Linked DNA regions of Arabidopsis thaliana. The protein of the gene in region 4 interacts with the protein of the main gene of each other region in a pairwise test. Each region holds a gene or a part of one and is shown on either strand. Other genes may lie near its edges.

What was found.
Region 1: the proteins of TET2 (region 4) and AT3G01360 interact in a protein complementation assay, tested with the Arabidopsis thaliana proteins (one large-scale study listed by BioGRID).
Region 2: the proteins of TET2 (region 4) and NHL1 interact in a protein complementation assay, tested with the Arabidopsis thaliana proteins (one large-scale study listed by BioGRID).
Region 3: the proteins of TET2 (region 4) and GONST5 interact in a protein complementation assay, tested with the Arabidopsis thaliana proteins (one large-scale study listed by BioGRID).

Annotation. Positions count from the first base shown.
Region 1 is NC_003074.8:133,903-140,609, forward strand, and holds AT3G01360 (plant viral-response family protein (DUF716)), read right to left. Parts: upstream 4,830-6,707; coding exon 3,870-4,829; 3' UTR 3,868-3,869; exon of another isoform or gene 3,692-3,867; intron 3,659-3,691; 3' UTR 3,559-3,658; coding exon of another isoform or gene 2,676-3,558; 3' UTR 2,592-2,675; downstream 1-2,591. Other genes in the region: AT3G01350 (Major facilitator superfamily protein), read left to right, coding at 1,122-1,176, 1,273-1,490, 2,056-2,591, 2,676-3,558; CFM2 (CRM family member 2), read left to right, coding at 5,131-5,820, 5,954-6,461, 6,548-6,678.
Region 2 is NC_003074.8:3,677,168-3,682,959, forward strand, and holds NHL1 (NDR1/HIN1-like 1), read right to left. Parts: upstream 2,777-5,792; 5' UTR 2,494-2,776; coding exon 1,864-2,493; 3' UTR 1,428-1,863; downstream 1-1,427. Other genes in the region: DGD1 (UDP-Glycosyltransferase superfamily protein), read right to left, coding at 3,923-4,433, 4,516-4,865, 4,967-5,233, 5,334-5,792. UniProt on the Arabidopsis thaliana protein: May play a role in plant immunity.
Region 3 is NC_003070.9:7,675,720-7,681,429, reverse strand, and holds GONST5 (golgi nucleotide sugar transporter 5), read right to left. Parts: upstream 3,223-5,710; coding exon 3,109-3,222; intron 3,013-3,108; coding exon 2,763-3,012; intron 2,668-2,762; coding exon 2,460-2,667; intron 2,278-2,459; coding exon 2,046-2,277; intron 1,955-2,045; coding exon 1,733-1,954; 3' UTR 1,587-1,732; downstream 1-1,586. Other genes in the region: LYM1 (lysm domain GPI-anchored protein 1 precursor), read right to left, coding at 75-741; AT1G21866 (Plant thionin family protein), read right to left, coding at 3,650-3,931; AT1G21864 (Plant thionin family protein), read right to left, coding at 5,584-5,710. UniProt on the Arabidopsis thaliana protein: GDP-mannose transporter that may be involved in the import of GDP-mannose from the cytoplasm into the Golgi lumen.
Region 4 is NC_003071.7:8,470,919-8,476,867, forward strand, and holds TET2 (tetraspanin2), read right to left. Parts: upstream 4,236-5,949; 5' UTR 4,104-4,235; coding exon 3,910-4,103; intron 3,825-3,909; coding exon 3,518-3,824; exon of another isoform or gene 2,687-3,517; intron 1,787-2,686; coding exon 1,475-1,786; 3' UTR 1,216-1,474; downstream 1-1,215. Other genes in the region: CDA1 (cytidine deaminase 1), read right to left, coding at 1-585; ACO1 (ACC oxidase 1), read right to left, coding at 5,321-5,906. UniProt on the Arabidopsis thaliana protein: May be involved in the regulation of cell differentiation.

The DNA.
Region 1 (6,707 bases), on a different chromosome or scaffold from region 4:
AAGAACAACCTTGTATAAGGAAAAAGAATCGCAAAAAAGGGAATGCGAAAATTATGTATATAAAAGAGTATCAAATACGCCAAATGTAAATGAAAGGAACATATAACTTTAATTATAGTTATTTCTTTTTCATATTGTACAAGGGTGAAGGATGAATTCAATGTAGCTAACAGATAGAAAGCTAAGAGCTAGATGGTCCATTTTAGTGATATATACTGCATGATTTTGCATTTTATCGACATATTTATAAAAAATTTCCTCTTTTTCTTTCTTTTGTAAAATACGTTAAACCTCAATTTAATTAAAAGGGTGTTGACCTATAAAAAAACTAAAGGGTAAGAGATATATAATAGACTTAATAGTGTTTAATTATAATAGAACAAATCTGCAAAAAAAAATGGTTTGCGCAACGGTTATTAAAGATATAATTCAAACTAGGGTGCATACAAACCTATTGAATTTCCTAATCTACTTAAACCAGGTTTCATTTAAACCATTTTCATGAAACTTTCCAATTCACATATTTCTTTAAGAATTCAATTAGTTAGTTTATTTTGGTTGACATCTACAATGAGTGTTTTTTTCCCCTACATAAAACTCCATCATTTGGTAAAAAAAACTTTTACTAGCTTGTACCTTTCTTCGTTAAATGTTTAATTTTCACTTTTTAACTCATCCGTATTTTACAAACGAAGAGAATAAAAATCAATTTGAAGTGTATATTTGGCTATATACAGTTTTAGTTTAATTCGTATAAAATTGGAAAACACATCTTTTGAAGAAACAGAAGAAGCATGGTAAGAAAAGAAGGAAAAACTATTTAATAAATACATAAATCCACCCACATAGGTGTGGAGACAAAGATATAGAATTCCAAATATGGAAATTAATCTCTGCCATTAGTGGAAGTTAATTCTCATAACACCGAAAAGCTAACGATTTTCAACTTTTTTTTTTTGTTACTCAGAAGATTTTAAACCTTTATAAATACGAAAAAACCAATCTCACAAATCATCAACAATCACCTTGATCTCCACTCTCTTACATATAAATAACCAAATAATTTCTCTCCCCTCTTCTCTCTACACACATAGACAATAAACACATAAAGACAGTTTCTAATGGATTTAGAACAGAAGACAAGAGGACTTAGCAAGTCATGTGCCCTTCTCATAGGTAAATGATTTCCTCTCTTCTTTTTGTTCGTTTGTTTCAAAGATTCAAAACTTCACTGAAACTAAAGATTGAACTTTTGTTTTTCTGTGTGTATAGTGATTGCGGGAATGGAGAGATATGCATTCAAAGGAGTTGCATCAAACTTAGTGACATATCTAACAGATGTAGTGAAGATGAGTAATTCAAGAGCAGCCAAAACTGTTAACACTTGGGCTGGTTTCACTTCTATGTTGCCTCTCTTCTCTGCTCCTTTGGCTGATACTTATTGGGACAGATTCTTCACCATCCTTGCTTCTTCTTCCGTCTACTTTGTGGTAAGTAGAATCAAGTGTTAACTAAGTGCTGAAACTCTCCTCCACCGTCAGACAATAACGGTCAGGCGGTGAGGGAATGTTGCTTTTATTTATCTTATTTTATAATCGCGTTGTTAATAGAATTGGTTATATTTTGATAATGTTTTGGCCTTCTATTAGATGTCTATGTATATGCTTGATTAAGCAGTCATTAAGTGATAAACTGATAATGGGTATTAACTTGTGCAAGAAAAACTGGTTTAGACGATATATCTAAGGAAGTTATAAGTTAGGTGTTGGGTCATTTTCCGAGTTAAGGAATAGATCAAGTAGACCATCTTAAAGAGTCTTTAAGAAATTAGATACTTGGTCACCGTCCGATTAGAAATTTTCTTTTACCACTAATGGAGTTTATATGGATCCCTTTAATAGTTGGGTTGATAATGGAATTTTGATTAGAATGTTGATATAGTGCTTATAATGGGTCTTATCGGATCTTATAGGCGAAAAAGCTAGCTTAGTGGAAACTCGAAAATCTTCTTTTGTTAGTAGTTTTTAATATATTATTTCTGTTTTTTCTTTGAAGGGACTAGTGGGATTGACATGGACGGCATTTGCTGGGTCACGTTCAGCTACTAAGACTATCTCTTCTTACTTTCTCTACTCTTCACTATGTCTTGTCTCAATCGGTTTAGGCGTCTTAAACCCTTCTCTTCAAGCCTTTGGTGCAGACCAACTCGACCACGACCTCGATAAGAATTTCGATCTTTCCTCGGGTGATCAAAAGGACGCGAAAGCTACCCGAAAGACTCAGTTTTTCCAATTGTGGTACTTTGGCGTCTGCACCGGCAGCCTTATGGGTGTCACAGTCATGGCTTATATTCAAGACACTTTTGGTTGGGTTCTCGGTTTCGCCATTCCTGGTATCGTGATATTCCTGTCGATTTTGGTGTTCATGTCGGGTTGTGGAATTTATGTTTATGCTCCGGGCGCCCGTCTGAAGAAGAAAACAACTACTACACCTTTTGAGAAGATTCTTAAATTCATTAAAGGGAGAGTAGTGAAGCAGAGAAGCATATATACACTTGCAGATGAGAAAGATTTGGATGCTATGGAGCTTGAGTAAGTTCGGAAAAACCACGATATCTCATGAAACTAATTAGTCTTTTAAGTTTTTTAGCGACTAATGATTACCTGTTTATGTAGGCTAGAGGAGAGGCCTCTCTGTAAATGTGAGACCGAAGACATTGAGACTCCTTCAACAACCTCCAAAGGATTGGAAGATGACGAGAGCTCGAAAACGGTTTTCTCTGGAATTGATAATGTTAAGTTAGTGATTCGCCTTTTCCCCATATGGATGATGCTTCTCATGTTCGCGGTTATCTTCCAGCTACCAGCAACCTTTTTCACCAAACAAGGTGTGACTATGAAGAGAAACATTGGGTCCAACTTCAAAATCCCACCTGCAACCCTGCAAAGCACGATCACATTATCAATCATCCTGCTTATGCCATTATATGATAAGATTTTGATACCTATTACCAAGAGAATCAAGAAAAACGGTACAGGTATCTCTGTGATGGAGAGAATGGGAGTCGGAATGTTTCTATCCATCATTGCCATTGTTATTGCGGCAATAGTCGAAAGGAAAAGACTAGCCATAAGCCAAAAGATGAAGACTTTACCTGATTATGATCCAGAAACCGTCCCACTGAGCATCTTCTGGCTGCTGCCTCAGTACATCCTCTTGGGAATCTCAGATATATTCACAGTCGTTGGGATGCAAGAGTTTTTCTACAGTGAGGTTCCTGTAAGAATGAGAACAATGGGATTTGCTCTCTACACAAGTGTTTTTGGTGTTGGAAGCTTTGTGAGCGCCGCACTGATCTCAATTGTCGAGGCTTACTCGAGCTCAACAGGTGACCGACAAAACTGGTTTGCAGATGATATGTCGGAAGCTCGGCTTGACAAATACTACTGGCTTCTTGCTCTTACAAGTACAATAAGCTTTGTAGTCTACATATTTCTATGCAAGTTTTTCAAGAGTAGCAGTGATCAAGGCGATGAAAAAGAAGAAGCCCCTAAATGAAAGAAGAAAAACTTTGATTCCTTTGACACAGTCGACTTAGATAACCGTTTGCCATAAGATTCCACGAATGATCTAACTGTAGTAGTAGCTTTAGAACTAACTAGCAAACCAAAAGAGATAGACAACTGTAAGATTTTTATTCATAAGAAACAGTATCTTATAATATCAAATGCAAAAGATTCAACATTATTATTATCTCGTGTGTTTGATTACATATCATCATTAATCCTCCCATTGACCAACAACATTTCTAAAATGGACAGATTCAAAACAGACAAAAAAAAAAAAGTCTGAAACTTTGATTTATACCTTTAATCATGTGAGCTGTTTCCATTGAGACCAACTTCTTTAGCTACGTTGCTCTCTTCTCGAACCTCGTCTTCTTCATCAGAGTCAAGTGTGAAAGTACTTAAATTCTCCAACTCAGCTCCGAGAGGTCGATATTTAGAATGATCTTGACGGAGATAACCATTCTTGTTAGCAATGACAGAGAACAAACCAGTAGCCACAACTACCATTAGAGCCAAATGACAGTTAAATTGAAGAGTAGCTATAGCTTTTGCTCGGTGATAATCACCGTGTCCTTTGCACTTGATCGTGAAATTGCCTCTGCTCTTCTCGTGAAACGTACAGTTATTAGTGATCAAACCGGTAAAAAACGATACACCCATTTGCAGAAACCATGTTCCTTGCAGAATCAGACCGATCCCACGACCTAATTTCGCAAACCGATGCGTGCTAGAGTCGGATTTGAGCTCAAAAACCGTGGAGAAGACGCAGATGGCAATGGGCACGAGCATGAGATCGTAATAACGATTCTCGATTCCAGAAACATCTTTCTTTTGCAGGTAGAACATTAAGAACTCCTCAATGAAGCCAAAGAGAAGCAATAAAGTTGTAATCGAAGACGGAAGTGCAACAAAGACAGCGTTTTTGGAGTTGACCAGATATGTTAGAATGGCGTAATATAGGAATAGTACTGCCACTGCCACGATCTGTAACTGGATCATTGACCCGACCCGATCGCGAGATCCGATTGAGCTGAAGAAGGAGAAAAACGAGTTCGCAATAAACAGAGACGAAAGCAAAGCTACGGGGATGGAAGATGATCCAACAGATTTTGGCGGCGAAGCTCTGATCTGAGCCATAGGGGAAGATGAATCAGCAGTACCAGAAGATGAATTCGGATCCAGGTTCGATGAGTCCAGTGACTCCCACGCGCCGATTACTGCAAATCCACCGCCGGCGACGGCGTAACTTAATATACCCATGACTCCAATCTTCACAATCTCTGCGAATCAGGTTATACTTCTTTCGAGGAAATTTGGATTTTTCCGCCATTAAAGCTTAACAGAATCGAGCTTCTGATCTGATAAACCGGAAAGATCCGACCCGACCCGAATAACCCAAAATGGGATAGGCTAGTAGCCCAATAACTCAATATGGGCCTACTGGGGTCTTCAAATAGTTCATGTTTAAATATTCTAACCATCACGTGACAATCATGTGACCTCTATGGATATGCTGCTGCTGCATATAGCTCCGCTTGCGTAATCCAGTTTGCTTGGAGAAATGTTGCTTCCACTGTTTCACCAGCAACCATTGATACTTGCCAAAACCTTTCCCGATCGAATTTTCCCGCCATTCCTTGTTCCCAACACCCTAGTTTCGCGACGCAATGTCAGTCGAGCGAACTCCGGCATCTTCTGTAGTTCTGCTTCCGGTCGAAAGACTCTTCCCCAATCGGCTATCCAGAGAATCGCTGAGAAGCTTCGTAGCCTTGGATTCGTGGAAGAGAAGCATGATTCACCGACTAGGAGAATCACGGGAGAAGAATCTGGTAAGAATTCCCCAGGAGAGATATTCGTTCCGTTGCCTAAGCAGCTTCCGATTCACCGGGTCGGGCACACGATTGACACAAGCTGGAGCACGCCTAGTTACCCGGTTCCGAAGCCCGGGTCGGGTACTGCCATTTCAAGGTACCATGAGTTGAAGAGAGTGTGGAAGAAGGAAACGGAGATGGAGAGGAAGAAGGAGGAGAAGGTTCCGTCGTTGGCGGAATTGACATTGCCGCCGGCGGAGCTGAGGCGGTTGAGGACGGTGGGGATTAGGTTGACGAAGAAGCTGAAGATTGGCAAGGCTGGGATTACGGAAGGGATTGTGAATGGGATTCACGAGAGATGGAGGACGACGGAGGTTGTGAAGATTTTCTGCGAAGATATTTCCAGAATGAACATGAAACGGACCCATGACGTCTTGGAGGTTTGTTTGCCTCTCTACTTTTGATTTCATGATAGGGATTTGATAGTAACATTTGACTCTCAATGAAAGATCTATGAACATGTCAACAAATGGCACAGACGGAAATTCATACTTGTCCTGGTTGATTTTACAGACAAAAACTGGAGGCTTAGTCATTTGGAGGTCTGGAAGCAAAATATTGTTGTATAGAGGGGTAAATTATCAGTACCCTTATTTTGTATCTGATCGGGATTTGGCACATGAAGCTGCTTCAGGAGCATCATCTATGGATCAAGGAGTGGTTGATAGTAGAGAGAAACAGAGTATTGCAGAATCTTCTGCCCCGAGTATTACTAATAAAATGGTTAAACCGATGTTGACGCAAGGCGTTGGTTCTCCGGATAAGGTTAGGTTTCAATTACCCGGGGAAGTACAGCTTGTAGAAGAAGCAGACCGTTTGTTGGAAGGATTGGGTCCAAGATTTACTGACTGGTGGGCATATGATCCCCTTCCCGTAGATGGTGATCTTCTGCCAGCCGTAGTACCTGACTACAGGAGACCATTTCGCCTTCTTCCATATGGCGTCAGTCCAAAACTAACTGATGATGAAATGACCACAATAAGGAGACTTGGTAGACCACTCCCTTGTCATTTTGCTTTAGGTAAGCTTGGTTTCACCTGATTTTAGCTTCATTTAGACACGAAAAGATTGTTAACTTATTCTGGCTTACCTTTTCGAGACTTCCAGGTAGGAATAGAAATTTGCAGGGACTAGCTGTTGCAATTGTCAAGCTTTGGGAGAAATGTGAGCTTGCCAAGATAGCAGTGAAGAGAGGAGTTCAGAACACTAATAGTGAGCTGATGGCCGAAGAGTTAAAGGTTGTTGGTTTACTTCTAGTGATCAAAGT
Region 2 (5,792 bases), on a different chromosome or scaffold from region 4:
AACGACGCGAATATTTGATTTTGTTGGTCTGATTTGGTTAATGAATGAAGGATTTGGTCAAGGAAAATTAATTGTGACCATTATTTGCTATTTTGTTGTTGTTATTGATAGATAACCAAGATCGGTTATACTTAACCAACGGTTTAATTTTTTGAAAAAGAAGTGCCGTTACGTTTTGAATGTGGTCAGAGCTTTTTCAGCAATCGAGAAGCATTTCAAATGTAAAGGTTTAATAATTAAACGTCTAGCCACTATTGTTACTAAAAAGAAACAATTTATTTAGTGTGCAGCTCCATAAAACTAGGTTTAAGTAGGCGTTATTTTCAAGTTTGTTTCTCAATGCTAAGGAAGAAAGTAGGAATATGTAAAATGTGATGAGTGATATCCCAAATTGTAGAAGGCTTATCCCAAATTCGGCCCAACATAAAATAGTGTAGCCCGTTAGTAGACGAACATAAAGACGCTACTAAAACCCTAGTTTCATGGAACTACACTAAATATAGTCATGAACACATAAACTCAAAATGTCTAAGATAGAGATCATAATTATTAACATTTTTAAAACACTTAATTTGTTTGAATGAAGAATTATATTACAAATAGTTGATCAGTATTATTTTGAGATAGATCCACTGCATATGTAATCAATATTGATTCATTCCAAATATGCATGCACTGATGCACGCACTATTGATCAATGATCAACTATCTAAAGTTTCCGTTGTTGTAAATTATTTTTAAGTTAGGTAGCAAAGGCCATTTTTCAGAAAATTATGTGAGTTTGGCTGAGCATTACTCGGACGTTCTAGTGCCTTTGTGTGAACAGCACACACAGCACGTTCATAACCACTTTATTTTTATTGAAAATCAAAGGAAATCCAAAGTTAGGTTTCTCAACTTTATTTGAGATAGAAGTATGGAACGTTGCTTATATACTACTATATATCATGTGACTGATATCCAAAGTCTTATTGGTGACTGACTTTTTTCGTCTAACGTTTCTTATATTATTTTCATTCCCAACTTAGATAATAAGTTTTAAAGGACCATATTCCCCTTTAATTTCTTTGGTCAATTTCATGGACCACATTATAAGTTAAATGAATGGAAATGCAGATAAACGAGAAATAAGTCTCTAGACCGGATTCTGATTTTCACAATTCAAGATCCAAGAATATTCACGGTAATCCAAGAATATCCACGATAATATCCACGATAATATCCACGGATTCTAAATTCTTGTAAGTAACGTTATGTATTAACTTTATTTCAATGTAGCAAAACTCTAGGAGAATGGGCTTTTAAAGTGCACGAAAAACATTTTTTTAAGCCAGACACCAACAAATAGAACTTATCTATAAATCCATAGATGTGACTAAAAATAATCCAATCCACAAAATTTATCTTTTTGAAATGTCTTATTTGTTGTAGAATAGTCTCTATATAAAATGCATCTCTCTATTTAATTTAATAAAAAGATGGAGACAAATGGACAATGACACCATCACACAACGTCCACAAAACATTAACGAGCCTAATCTATTCAACTAAAAATTAATCTCCATCGCCATCAAACTTTACCATATACATAAGAAAAAGTCATCAAAAGTCGATTTGACAGGATCAGAAGATGCATCAAAATCAGCAAAAAAAATACTTCGAAAAAATCATCACAACTTATAATAGAATTTAGAATTCAACTATAATAAAAAAAAAGTATACATATTGAAATTCTTAAAATTCGTTACAACATCACGAATCTGTAATATTTGCTATTCGTATAAGCAAAATGTACAATTCACATCACTAAGACAGATTACTTAACGAAGACGTTTAGTTACCTTATTTTTCTTCGTCGCCGTTTCACACACTAACACTACAACTAGTGGTAAACGTATACTTAACGGCGTTGTCTCCGACGATAACTCCGTTAGCTTTGTTACCGAAGTTTATATATGCTGGACACTTCACATGAAGATGATACTTCCCGGTGATAAAAGTCCCAACCTTCCACCTCACTCTACCATCAGCACGAATGATCAACAAAACGACACCGTTATCTTTATCGGTGTCAAGACTAACGCCGTTAAAAGGAGCGATGGGAACGGAGGTTCCGTAAACAAACGGCGACCAGATGTCGACATCTTTGTGTCCCTGATACGTGGGAGGGATTGATGTTGGGAAAGTGATTTGTTGGCTCCGGTAAGTAGCGTAGACGTCAAGCCGGTCGTAGTAAATGCCGATTTTGTTGTTAGGGTTCCGGGAAGAGAGAGTGATTTGGAAGTTGGAGGTGAGGAGGTTCGGTGGATTGCCGGAGACGTTGAAGGCGTAGACGGTGGCGTCTTGGAGGATGAAGCGTGGCTTTGATGGTTGGAGAATTGCCCAAATGAGGAGGATTGTTAGGAAGATGATGAAGAGGACGAAGATTATTGACCAAAATATTCGCCTTATTAGTTTCCGGCGAGAGTGGCCGTGGTTTTCACAGTCTTTCATGGTGGTTGTTTTTTTTCTTTCTCCGACGGTGAGTGGTGGTGGTGGGGAGAAGGTGGAGAAGTTGTTAAGAGATTTTTTGTTTTAGTGATGGCTCTAAATAATGGGCTAATTATATGTAGGATTTATAGGAGTGTGATAGGGAAATAAAGGTATTCTCATATTATAAACTATAATAATTCTCCCTAATATTAAAGGTATTCTTTAAAAAAAAAAATTGTAATCAAAACAAAGACCCTTTTAAAGAAACAAGTATTCTACATTTTTATTTTCCATTTAATCACAACAATATATTTTTAAAAATCATGCTAACCTTCTTACATAAAATTTATGTTGTGATATATTTATTGTTAACTGTCATTTTGTATTCTCTATAATTCATTTTGTTTTTTTCCTACATTTATATAAATGTTGAAAATTTATGAATGCGTGATTGATGTGGTCGGTGCAAGTGTTCTTTAGAAAGGTGACTTTATGTGTGGTCGAAGAATTTTTCATCGGCTCCCCTCCAACCATAATAAGCAATTCAACTAGCTAGTTATAATTTCACTTTCAGCTTCACGATATATAAAAAATTCATTATCAGTAGATTCTCTAGTGTGAAATCAAACTACATATATAGTAACTTGCTTGTTTCAAACAGTAATTTGTGTTTGTTAAATTTGATTTTTCCATGATCATGGAACTCGGATTTGTACCATCCCTCAAAATAAAAAGTTCAGAAATTTGGAGCTGTCACATGGGTAAATGAGTTTTCACTACAAATTATTAGTCCATTTGTGATACGAATTTATAGACCAATCTAACTTTTTATTTATTTAATGATCATATATTGCGTATACATGTGTGGATTAATAATTTGATAGAGATTGAAAGAAAGTTCAATTTATCCACGTAATTTCCAATACAGAAAAAGAGGACGTAAGTGACCTAACACTAGTTGCCAAAGCAGAAACCACCACTTTTTCCATCATTTTCCTTGTCGTGTTACGTTGATTAACTACTCTAAATATTCTGTAATTTTGGAGAGAAAGTATTAGACGGGGCACTAATTTCTCTATCGGTATCGGTCGACATATATTTGGTCTAGTCGTGATTAAAGTAGTTTTCGAAATTTTAGACAATAGCGATATTAATAGGGAGGGTTCTTTTCATCTTTGGCGTAAAAAAAGGGGAATAGCTTGAATTCGTGAAACAAAAGAACAAAATCACGAAAACGGCCTTCATAGTTCATATTTTTGCCAATATAGTTATTTTATATATCATCAAATACGCTTCGTATTGATATTTTACAAAAAGACATCTAATAATAATCTACCCTTTCTATTAACAAACAAACGACCTACAACAACTGTAAAAGTAAAAAAGGATAACAATAACGTAGTGGTTTAATAAGTCACAAGCAATAACTGGGTGGCCTATGGGGAAATATCTACCAGCCGAAGATTGGCTTGTGAACGTGAGGTGGTACGAGATTCAGATCCTTGCAATGTTGATTATCATAGTCTTTTGTTCTTGGTGTTGCTCCAGTGCATAGTCTCAAGAAATCGTTCCCTGTTAGAACATAGTGTGAGAATGCCAATCCTCCATCGACCACCTCGTTAAAGCTCGGAACCGATCTTGATTTTCGCATCTTCCTTCCTCCCTCTCCATTGTTTAAGATCTTATCGAGATCTGAATACTCCATGAACCTCTGTGTTGCTGCTTCCCAAGAGAGATTGTACATTTGTTCAGGAGTGAGAGGTAGTGGCTCTTTCGTCATTGCTTCTTGCACTTTGGACACAAAGTCTTCGGATGTTTTGTAAGTTAAGCAGTTCGGGAATGATCTAAAGAATTCGTTTGAAGGGTGATCTGCACACACCACAAACTTCCCCATGGCTAGTGCTTCTGCGGTTGCTGTGCATAGAACATCGCTGATGCTGGGGTTTATGAACACTTTGTACCTTCATCAAGATGTGGGAAAGACAATCAAAGAGCGAAACCTTAACAAGTTTTTAAAAGCAAAGCACATTTTTCAGAACTTACTTGTGAAGAGCATCGTCAGCGTGGTCCCTTCCTTTGAGGAAATTGAGATTCAAGTCATGTTTCTTTGCTGCACGTTGGACCTCGACTGCATCTTCACCGTTCCCATATACATCTAGATTGAAGCTCCCAAGTTCGCTTTTGTGTTTAGCCATCAGATCTATTAGTTCTCTGTATCCTTTAGCCCACACCATTTTTCCTAAGAAGTATGCACCTTTTGAGAAAGCTTGTTCACCACGGGATCTCTCTTCAGCAATTTTCTCCCCAATCATAAGGAACTTGGGATTGACACCATGGACATTGCATACAACAGACTTTGGTAAATCTTGTGTTGCCGCAGAGAGGCGAAGAACCTTTCATGAGTAGAAAATATGTATTAGCTCGTGTACTATTTATTAGTAAAGAGGATTCAAGCAACAGAACAAGGCTTGAAGAAATAGAGTAGATGATTCACCTTGTCACAATACGCTCGTGTGACCCAATTGTTTACATGGTTCACAAAAAATGCTTGAAGAGCTCCATTCTTCTCCCTCTTGATGTACTCTAAGTAGTTTGTGTGGACAATTCCAACAACATGGTTGAATTTATCAGTCCAACGCTTGCCGTGATAATACCAGTTGAGATGTTCAGGTTCTTCAAGTATAGCAATGTCAGCATCTTTTGACGATATAAATTGAGAAGTGTCACCAGCAGGAAATATGCTGCGCCTTTCTTTTGAAAACTATAAGAAACCAGAAAGCTCAGTTACTCTATAGAAATAATTGAAAAACATATTGGCAGCCATAGAAATAAAAAAATAGAATCCAAAATGATCAACATACCTTTCCTGGGTAAAAGGAGATTTTAAAATCAGCCTTGAAACCAATCCTTTCCTCCAACCATTTACGTATATAACTCTCTTGTTCTTCAGGTGAGCTGAAGGTGAGATTGTTTGGATACACTAGTTCTTGATCAGATTCGCAGAGCCAAGGAACCACGAGAGTAACACTCTGTTTTGCAGCTTTTGCCAAATACGCCGCTCTGAATAGCGGATTTACAGCTGTTCCGGTCATCCAAGGAAGACTAGCTGTTGTAACAATTGCCACATGCCTTTTGTTTTCCGGTGTCTCAGGCTTCACAAAATCAGTCCAAAACCCACCATCATAATGGTGTCCTGTGCTTTGAAGAACACTGGCTATCCTCATATCCAAATCAACTCCATGGTTATCATTTTCAATTAAATCGGATGCTTGTGCAGATGGCAGACGCCAAAGTTGTTGGCTCTTGCATTTGCAAAGGCT
Region 3 (5,710 bases), on a different chromosome or scaffold from region 4:
AACTAACAATAGAAACTACTTCCCATTATACAAACATCTGAAGATACAACTTTTAAAGATTGTGTAGACCTGACCTGACAAAGGAACAGCGAGAATATCTCCAGAACTAACATCAGGAGCTCCCATAGCATTCACATTCATCAAATCAGTAATAGTAGTCGAATACCTCCTCGCGATTCCGACCAATGTATCAATCTCCTTCACAACATACGACAAATAAACAGCCGGCAAAGAATTGTCGGTGCCATTGAAACAAGCACAAGGCAAGGGGATAACAAGACTAGTCCCAACATCAAGCAGCGACGGGTCATTCACCGAGTTAGCTTCCTGGATCTGCTCAGCAGAGACCAAGCCTCCGTAAACAGAGTCAGCAATCGATCCTAGATTGTCAGAAGGTCGGGTTTTGTAATGGGTAGAGACAGATTTTCTGATTCCGTCGACGCAGGAGCAAGTGATTGGGATTTTGAGGAAGAGCTTCGAAGGAAGGATATGGTTTTCGACGTCTGGGTAAGAGATATCGATGGCGTTAGCTAAAAGGATAGAGATTGGGTCTACTTGGAAGAGAGATGCGACTTCTGAGACTTTGAGGTCGGTGTAGAGTGTGTAGCCGAGTAAAGCGTTGCAAGTGTCGTTGCTTGAGCAAGGCTCGATTGTTGATTTCGCTGTCGCTGTGAAGGTTAAGCTCGAAGCTAGGATCAAAGAGACGAAGATTAAGAAGATGGGTTTTTCTGGGATTTTCATTTTTGTGTTTAGGGTTTTACGAAATTCAAAATCTCCTAGGGTTTTCAATTTCTCTTACAGGACAATGACAGAGAGTACAGTGAACAGAGTTTAGTTTGGTCTATGGAAGATGAATCTGGAGATTTTTCCAGGGGTTTGGTAGAGAGAGAATCTCTCTGTATCTCTGGTTTTCTTCTTCTAGAAAGAGAAGAAAAGTTTCACCCTTTTTGAAATGGAGAGAGAGAAGAGAAGAGAGGAAGAAGGAGACAAGTGTGTTGTACAGAGTGAACAGAAAACGGTAGCTTTGCGATCTCCAAGACACAGACATCTTTTTATGCTGTTTGACTGTTTTGCCCTTTTCTCTTTAACTCCTTTGACCTGGTTTCAGACTACTGTAGCATGAAGATTTTTTGAAAATTGATTTTTTGTAAGGGAAGGATATGGCGGTAAATTCAGCAACATAAGTTGAGGCCCACTTGAAAAAGCCCATTTTTTACTTTTGAGAAGCTAAAGCAACGAATTTGATGAGCTGTTTTGAGAGCTAAAATATTCGTTTCCCTTAAACACCGTCTTAAGCTCTTTCATGTATCAAGGCGGGAAAATGAATAATCATTTCTTATATATTGTCAAATTAACTTTCTATTTTCATCTTCTTTCAAAGATTCCCAAACTTGCACCATTTTGTCATGTATTAAGTCTCTGATGTTAGAACATGGCACTATGGCACAAACAAAATTGGAAGGAAAAATTAAAAAGCTGAGGTAAGTGAAAGCACTACCATAATTGAATACAAAAATGGGCCTGCTTTAAGTATCTTTGTGGTCATCTCTGAGTTGGTTTGATGAGGATAGATAATTTAATACAATGGAAACAAATAAAATGGCACTTCTCTAACTTCTCTAGTTTGAGTAAAAATAAACATATAGTTAAACTATAACTCTCTTGTGGATGTTCAAGATCAAATCTAACTTCTTTGTGTGCGTTCAATAGTCTAGTGACTTACCGATGATATTCAAATTTTACTCTCGAGTTTATCATTAACAAGAGGGATCAGTTCCATCTTGTTCCTTGGGGTACGAGGAGTCCTAGGAGTTCCGGGTTGTTGCTGAGAAAGCATGTGTCTTACATATCCGTAAAAGGTGCAGCCCACAAGTGTGATTCCGCAGCCAACAGCATTCATCGGTGATATCGGGTTTCGAAATATCATCCATGAAACAAACACAGCTACTGCAACCTGCAAATCACATACCATCCATCAAACATCTGAGTTATTGAAACTAGAATATAAAGATTAATGTTATGTGGTTTGGGATTTGTTCATTTACCTTAAGGTTTCCAGCTACATTGAATGTGACTGCTGTTGTGGATTGAATGACATAGAAGATGGAGAAGTTAAGACAGAAAGCTAGAACACCTGAGTTGAAAAGAATTATGAGAGCCGACCATGGAGATGGATGTGCTTCAAACCAATCCAAAATTCCATTCCTTTCTAGTAAAAATGCAGGTAACCCGAGAATCATGGTCGCGAAAGGCGCCATATAGTATACCGTGTTTATGCTACATAGAGAGACATGAAAATGAGGAGGACACAAACACTCAGTTCCATGAAATATGAAAAAGCAAATCAAGTATTGGACTATGAGAGCATGGCATGTCATTGAAACCAAATGTAAGTTTCACACATTCAACACCTATCATGTGAAACTGAAGATCAAAACCTCAGGAAACAGAACATTGACCTGTCAAATTTGTATCCATGAAGAAGAGATTCTGCAAGAATGGTCTTTGTAGAGGTAGCTAAACATCCAAACAAAGCAGCACAGAATCCAAACACATTAAAGCTAAGTTCTGTAATAGAAGTAAGAAGAATCCCTCCAACAATAGGCACCAATGACGCCCAAATACGCCAATCAAAATATTTCCTCCATACCAACCACTGTAACACAACTGCACTCAAAAAACCATTACACAAAAACCAATCAGAACAATAAAAAAAAATCACTTTATTTTGAAAAATTCTCAATCTTAAAAAAACCCTAAACCTGTTGTTGCAGGAGTTAAAGATTTGATAGTCTGCATAAAAGAGACAGGAATGTATCTAAGACTAATATTCCCCAACACAATGTTGATACAGAACACAAATGACATTGGAAAAATCCTCCTCCACCTATCTTCTGGATCAACCACAATCAAAGGTTTAAGCTTTAAGACTTTAATCACAATGTATGCTCCAATCGACGAACATATGAAATGAACACATGAAACTGATAATGGAAACTTGAAATCCAGTTTCTGCAAACAAGGAAAGGTACCAAATTTCAAACGCAGATCAGATAAAACAAACGAAAGGCTAAGTCTTTAATGATAAAAGTAAGAGACTTTTTAAACCTGAAAGATCCATTTGTTCATGATGATAACAGTAACGTTAAAACCCCACCATTGAAGAATCGATAACAGAGATCTGAACATAGTCCATTGACGCCACAGACTTCCTTCCTCCATTGATGGGTTTTAAGAAGTGAGTCAGAGAAGGATCCAAAAGATGAAACCTTTAGGAATGTGGCAATGCAAAAGCTAAATAAGAAACCCTAATTAAAGCGCCAAGAGAAACAGAGTAACGGTTCTGTTTTATATGCGAGAATTCTCTTTTTCTCTTTAGTAAGTTTCCGTGTAGTTAAATGCAAATATGTTTATGCAGCATAAATTATGCTTATACAAGTTACCAATTTTCAGTTGTTACATATATAAATATAAATAATTAGATTTTTAACAAATTTTCCGTATACAAGTAAATATTGTTAAAGATAAAAAATTATGGAAGAAGGATACATAAATACTTGAAATATTGATCGATACATTGATACAAAAAATCATAAATATATAACTTATGCATAGAGAAAGGAGACAAATTTTTTGTAATGTGGATCAATTAAGCGGTACAAATCCAGCTAAATGCTCTGCAGAACCTTTTTATAGGACCACCATTACCTCGAGGGACGATGTATCGCTCGTTGTTGAGAGGATCACATATAATCTTGCAAGGGTTGGCACATATGGCTGGAGTCGCTTTCTTTGATGCTTTCATGCACTGGTTCACGACACAATTTTTGACACACACATCTATCGAGTTGGAATGAGCTGAAAACATCATTGCAAATAAAATTACAATCATCAATACACTGCAGATTTTCTTTGACACTTGAGTTGCCATGTCGTAAGTATTGTGAGTCTGAAAATCTTAAATTGTAATGTTTTTTTTCTTTCTTTTTTCTTTTTGTTGTGGTTTTGAAACAAGATGATTTGGTGAGAATGTTGTGTTGATTATATAGTAAAAATAGTTTTAGCTGATTTTAGAAGTAACTAACTATTAGGAGGTCAACTTGTTTTCGTTTCTTTTTCTTGGCAAATATATCGATTGATTTCTGGACAACTTATATGTATTATACTGTTTTGGTCATCTAAACAACTATTTGCATGCTATGCATAAATATAGTAACACTAATTGCTCATATTTAAAATATTAGCCTGTACAACACATATCTTAGTGGCATTTTCTTCTTAAAATTCGTGACCACGTTTTTGTTACGAAAATCGTAATATGCACATGACATGGTAAAGAATACATACCGTTAACAAGGAATGATTACCTTTCACTGTACATAATTTTTTAAGATCATTGAATTTATCATTGGACACTAAAAATCTTTCCTTTTTTAAAAATGAAAAATAACAATTCCACCAAAAGTATCCTAAAAACTCAATGCCTAACTAAATCACATTGTTATTTTTCATGTGATTTAAATATTTTGGCGATCATCGGGGTACATTCTTTCTTTCAAACCTATAGTTTTTCTTAAATATGGTGAAAGATTCATCAGGAACAAAAAGAATACGTAATCCTTTTGTTTTGTCTATAATTTTTGAGTTGAATACATATATATATATATATAAGTAGGAAATTATGTACATTTGTTTATAAGAAAACGTAAGGAAAATATGTACTTTTGTTTATGAATAAGTAAGAGGTTCTAGATACATACAATACACTAAGGCGGATTAGATCATTTAATATGACTCCTCCCAGGTAAATATGTACATTTGTAAACATAATTTTCTTTCATATTGTCTTTATCGTCATTTTCCTCCATGAAAACACAATAAACTTTTTTTTCATAAAATCTATAAATTCAAGACTAATATAATTTGATTGAAAGTATTTATTTTAAAAATAAAATCCATATTTGTTTAACATCTTCAGTTTTTTCCATAAAATTATTAAATTCAAATGCCTACATAATTCTTTTTTACAACTCTATATTCTCAGCTTTCTTTCTAAAACAGTTGCACTTGTTGTAAACATGATATATATATATATATATATATATATATATATTTTTGAATATAATTTAACATTATGTTCAAAAAAAATTAGCTATACAAATTATGGAAACTTAATGCCTAACTAAATCACATTAACATCATATATTTTAGTTATTTTATTTTTAAACTATATTGTTTCAACTTTATTGGCGTTTATAACTTAAAATTTGTTTCATAATAAGTTTTGGTTATGTTTTTCAATGTAGATGTTTGGTTAAAAATTTAGTTTTTTTTAATGTCTTCACGAATAAAAAATCATAGCATATTAATAAAAAGAAAAACAGAAATTAATTGTAATTATTTTAATTTGTCTGAAAAACTTTAAACAAATATAATTTGAAAATGAGGGAGTATTAGGTATAATAAAATTATGGAAGAAGGATACATAAGTACTTGAAATATGGATCAATACAATGATACAAAAAAACATAAATATATAATATATGCATAAAGAAAGGAGACAATTTTTGTAATGTCGATCAATTACGCGCTACAAATCCAGCTAAATGCTCTGCAGAACCTTTTTATAGGACCACCATTACCTCGAGGGACGATGTATCGCTCGTTGTTGAGAGGATCACATATAATCTTGCAAGGGTTGTCACATATA
Region 4 (5,949 bases):
TTGTTTCAAATCGGCGGATGAATCGGTGTTTCCGTTACAAATCGAATCCAGATCTGAGATTTTGAGATGGTTATCGTGAGATTCGAGAAGAAGAGGATGATCTTTCCCGAGAAGATCGTCGGGACCGAATCTGTGTGGCAAGAAGCTTCCGAGACGTAAGAATCCGTCTGAATCGGCGGCGGAATCGGAATCGGCGGAGTTGTTTGGATCGGTGATAAGGATTTTGATTTCAGGTGCGTCGCGAATTTCTTGGAGGAATTGACGGCAATGGCCACATGGTGCGGCGGAGACGGCGAAGAAATTGAGATGACGTTCACCGTTGAGTGTGAGATTGGTGACGAGGAACTGTTCGGCGTGGATTGAGTGGTGGAGAGGGAGATTTGGGAATTCGACATTGACGCCTAAGAAGATCCGACCTGATGATCCGAGTCCGACGACTGCGACGTTGAATTTCGAAATCGGAGTTCGAGCGTAGGATTGTGCTGGTTTGACTAGCGACGGGAGGAGCTGAATGACGGAAACGCCGAGTTGTTTCGCGGCGGATTCTGCTTCTTTGGATTGGATTACGAAGCTTGGCTTATCCATTGCGGGTTGATCCGGTTTGGGTCGCGTAAATGGGTCGGGTTATTTTTAGATGGGAGAGATCCGGGAAATGAGGAATTATGAAATGGATGCTGGACAAACAAACTATTTATAGATACAACAACGTAGGAAACTACATTACGCAAATGAAGTTTTGGTTCGGTTTCGGTTATGTTTCGGTTTACGTTTGGTACAAAATAGAAAAATTATATCAGAATTGAATTTACAAATAATATGATTTCGGTTTGACTAAGCCGCATGGAATCATTGTTATGAAAACTACCAAAAATGCAATAGAGTATTAGTGTAACGTAATGTTAAAATCGTGGTCTAATTAAGAAAACACCTAGTAGTTTCATCAACCACGTTACGAAACTACAATAATCTCCGGATAATATTATTTTAGAGGTCAGAAATGAATTAAACTATAGCTAAAAGACAGCTTAGTTTCATATAATTTTGATAGTATTAAACATTTTAATTCCGGTGTTGTCAATTTTAAGTTCCCAAAAAAATAGTTAAGAACAAAGGTGATAGTACTATTGTTGACAAAAGAAAACAAAGATTAGGTTTTGTTCTTATCGTTGGAATCAACGTCACAGACCAAAAGAGAAGTCTTTGTTGATAATTACGTTTTAACCAACGGTTAAGTTTTTCTTAATAGAAGAAACTGAGAAAACTCTATGACAACAATCAGTTTTCCAATTAGGGTCAGTTGTTTGTTTACATAGATAAGTGCCATTTTGTCGAACATAAACTGATAAACATAGAAACAAAATCCATAAAAAGAAAAAAACCTTTTCCACACACAAAGAAATCATAATATGACGAGCTATTTCCGAAAACTCCAATCTCAACAAACTACAAACAAATTTATAGACACAAACACATTTTAGACCCAACCTTGTTTGTATTTGCGGAAGAGATCCTCAGTCTGAGCATTCCTAAACGCGCTACAAGCAATAACATAAACCCATATGAGAACAACGACTGTGATGATAAGTATGAGATTTGCTTTACGCCATTCTTTTCTAAGGTTTCCCAATAAACCAGCTTTGCATGAGTTGCAATTGTAACAAAGCTGGCTTTGGTCATTGCTCCATAAGTAACAGTCTGCGTCTGCAGCCATATTGGTTGGATTTAGCCACAGTGTTGGGTTCACAAAGTTGTAGCCACATGCGGTTGGTGGTTTGCAGCAGCCGGACTGTAAAACAACAAATGTTCAAGAAATTGTCATAATTAGATTTGACCAAATATATGCTTAACCATGTTTTCAAATATGATAATCATAGTCTTAAAGATATTTACACTTTTTTTTTATTGGTAAAAAATATTTACACATTGTAAACACAAACGCTACCATTTGCGTCTGCCCTTTGTGTTTACAACAAAAATTTCATTTTGCTTAACATGGTTAATATTATGGGTTCATGTGGAGAAAAAAAAAGTATATACTAAAGGCAAACACAAACAATCAAGAGTTCAAGAGTCAAGACCTAAAACAATGAAACACTAGTTTTAGTCTGAAAGCTATAAAAATAAAACGACTACAAGAAACCTAAAAAATTGCTTGCTTGGTATGAAAGTACATAAAAAAAATGAAAAAACATGTTGAATCTTATCACAGAATAATCTTCTTTTACTTATGAGTAAATTTTGGTTCTGTCTCGAGGACGAGAAATTGTATAACTCTTTCTTAGAAATAAACTTATTTTTTCTTGAGTCCTAATTTATCCAATAAGAAAAATTATAATGTGAGTGGGGCAACATGGGAGGGATATAATTATCTATTATGTTTCATGATGGAGACAAAGACTTGTGATCGTAATTATTGAATCAAATCATTGGTCCAATATTTAATAATGTCTAATGACTAAAAGATTTAAAATTCAGTCGAGACCTCAGCATCTAGGCTTATTTAATTATTAGTGGTTCCAATCTTGTTACAGTGACAATGGACTAGGATGACAACTTGCTATAGAAGTTTTAGGAATAAAATTATTTAAATCACCCTTAATCTCTCCATGTTTAAAGCTTAAAAGACATAAAAGACATGACAATGAATTTTAAGAGTGATTTTAATTAATAAAATTAAATAGAAAAAGTAGGAAATTTTGTCAAGTTTGAGTTGTGATCACGAAAAACACTATCTAAAGTGAATGGGATCATTGAATTTTATGAGTGAGATAGTGACAAAGGAAAAATATAATTAATACACAGATAAAACATAGTTTATCATGTACCATATTGTGGGTGCATGGGTGGGTCCTTATGATAGTGTATAATTTTGAAATCTGACTATCTTACTATATAATCTTGTGGACTTGGTCTCCAGCAACTTCTACACCAGTCTACTAGGAATAAATATGTGTTCAATAATGGTGATTACATATGCCTAATCTATGAGTTTTACCACAAAATGGCACTAACTGCGAAACGTTAAGAAAGCTAATGTAGGTTTCTCTCCAACACTAGAAAACATAAGATTAATTAAGTCAGAAAATATTTTTTTAGTTTTTTCAAAGATGAGGAAATCCAAAACGAAATAACTTAAAGCTGCAAAACAAAAAAAAAGAATATAGAGAATAAGAACAATTCTCTTTTGGACATCTTCACAAAAGCTAAAGAGAAATTTTTTAACTTTTTGATTTAAAACCACATACTTTACTTTTTGAAAGAAAAAATAACCTATCTTTCTATGGCAAGAACAAACCGTAGGTCTCACATAATCTAGAGATTTTACAAAACATTCTCTTTACTTCGTATCTTATCTCCATTAATCATCTAATAATATCTAATTAAACCCACAATGATTCGTTGGCATAGTTGCATAACCGATATTTAGTCTAGATTTACCTCTAAACCAAACCTAAACCGGAAACTAGAAATTTCGGGGTTCTTTTTATAAAAGAGAATAAAAGAAGAAAGAACATGCCTGGAGAGGAGTGATCTTAGAGGAGGAGAAGAACTGATCGGCGGTGATGAATTCTTGGTTGAGTTTAGGACAAACATTAGTATCAGCCAAACAAGCCCTTAGCCTTCCCCAGTTCTTGGAATCCACAACGTTCTCCTTAAGCCAATTCGAGAACCCTTCAAGCCTATACTCTTTATAACCTCTACCCGGAACCCGATACGATCCATCGGGCCGGGTCACGACGAATGCAAATATAAGAACCACCAGCAAAAGTCCGATCAATATCGCCATACAGCACAAGTAAACCGCCAGTAGAGTTTCCTTGTACCTGAAATATGAGAGCTCAAAGTTTACATCTTTATGATTCAATTTGTGTCTATGTTTTCAAAGTCTTGAAGTTCTTTGATTCTTACTTGTAGGCGCCGATGAAGCCTGTGGCGGAGACGACGAGGATGAGAACGCCGAGGACGACAACGGGCCAACGGAGGAGATTGACACACTCGTTGTCTGGCTTTGAAGCTAGCCATATACCTGACGCCGTTATTGGTATGGAACAGAGTAACGCTAGTAAGTTGAGTATCGCCGTTAAGTTATTCGCTAACGCCATTAAATTTTCTCTCTCTCTCTCTCTTTGTTCTTGAAGATTCGTGCTTTTTATGGAAAGAAAATGAAATAATGAGAGTGAGAGGAGTGTCTCTGTTTTTGTCTTAATGACTTATGAGGTCGGTGGTTAGAGATGATGGGATGTGTGAAACCAGTTACTGCTATTTACAGAAAACGATGTTCGGTTTGGTCCGGTCCGGTTAATCACTGATTTTGCTGATTTGGATTTTTCGACAACGGTGGTTTTAAGAAAAAAGAATTAGATATTGGATTAAAGTTAACATGTGAATGTCAGAATAAAATATGTTTAGCAATGAAAAGTTAGGTTTTGAACAAGTTTTGGGTTGTGATGTAATAAAGAGAACTTGTTAATCTGGTCGGACCGGCTTTTGGTTTAGAATTTGGAATCTTGAACGGGACACGTGGATACGCGAGATGCCTTTTGTGTTAATATTCTTCCATTCTGCGAGTTACCGAATGCATCAACCAGTGAGAACTATCCACGTGGCACCGACGACTTTGGGTCATTTGCATTGAACGTATGTTACTTTCGACAGAGAATGCAAAATGGAGTAAGTTCCATTGTTCGGAAATCGGAATTTTCTTCTTTTCCAAGCATTAGAGGTTTCGGAGCAGGATTTGTCGTTGGCTGATGAGTGAAATGTCGGGTAATGGTCAAGAGATAAGCTTTTGTTTTGGTTCAGAGGATTGGGATTGCACACAAGCTGCTCGATAGAATGTGTGAACCAAAACATATGGATGAATTTTTCTCATCTCGATTTTATTGCGATTGGAGAAGAATTTTGAGTCAATACACACTTAGCTTTCAGTTTTAGATGCTGATATAGAAATGCTATTTGTTTGATTCTAGGAATTGGGAAGGAAATGAGTCAAATCAGAGAGAATATGGAAAGAGATGATGGCGGAGTTGTGGATTACGTTAAGAGTTGAATTACATCTTATAAATCATGAAATTGACTGTCAATCTTAGAGCTTAGATTACAAGCTCTTTGTCTAATCTCAAGTTCGACACAGAGCTTGATGAGACTGCTTCAGTTTGGCTTTGGAACTTTTCAAGTGGAAGTGAAGAAAGAAGAGTGAAGTAGTATAGCTGAATCAGCAAGATTCTGACATGGCTGGTTATTTAAATTATAAGGAAACACAAGAAGAAGACAAAGTTTTTATGATGTGAGTACAGAAGCGTCAAATTCCAGATGCATCCTAGGCTGAATCCGCATTTCCCATTTTCTTCATGGTCTCAAGTCTGGGGCCTTTGTCTCCAAACTTGGTAGTTGAATAAAGCTTTAGGTAGTCTTGAAAACGGTAGCCACTTGGATACAAGAGCTTTGGAGCTGGAGATATTATGGCATCACCAGCCGGATTGTAAAACGTAGCAATCGACAGTCTACTTCCATGCTTCACTGTCATTACACGGTGAACAACACTCTTGTACCTCCCATTACTCAGTATCTCTAGTTGATCACCGGTATTGACAAAAATGGTATTGTTCTTGGATGGCGGTATAGGAACCCACTTCCCATCTTTAAAGAACTCAAGACCAGGCACTTGATCATCCTGCAGGAGTAATATGATTCCCCCAGCATCCGTATGTTCTCTCAGCCCTCTCATAAGCTCAGGACGTGGGCATTCTGGGTATTTAGCCACTTTTGTTCCAAAAGCTGGACCTTTTGGACCAGAAAAGGCATTCATTATGTCTTCCTGATCAAGACCAAGATTCTCACACATGAGCTTGGAGAGTCTCTCTGCAAACTTGTGCAGTTGACAAACATATTCATCCATCGTCTTGCTGCAAATATCAATTTCACCCTCTCACATTGTTTAGTTAAATA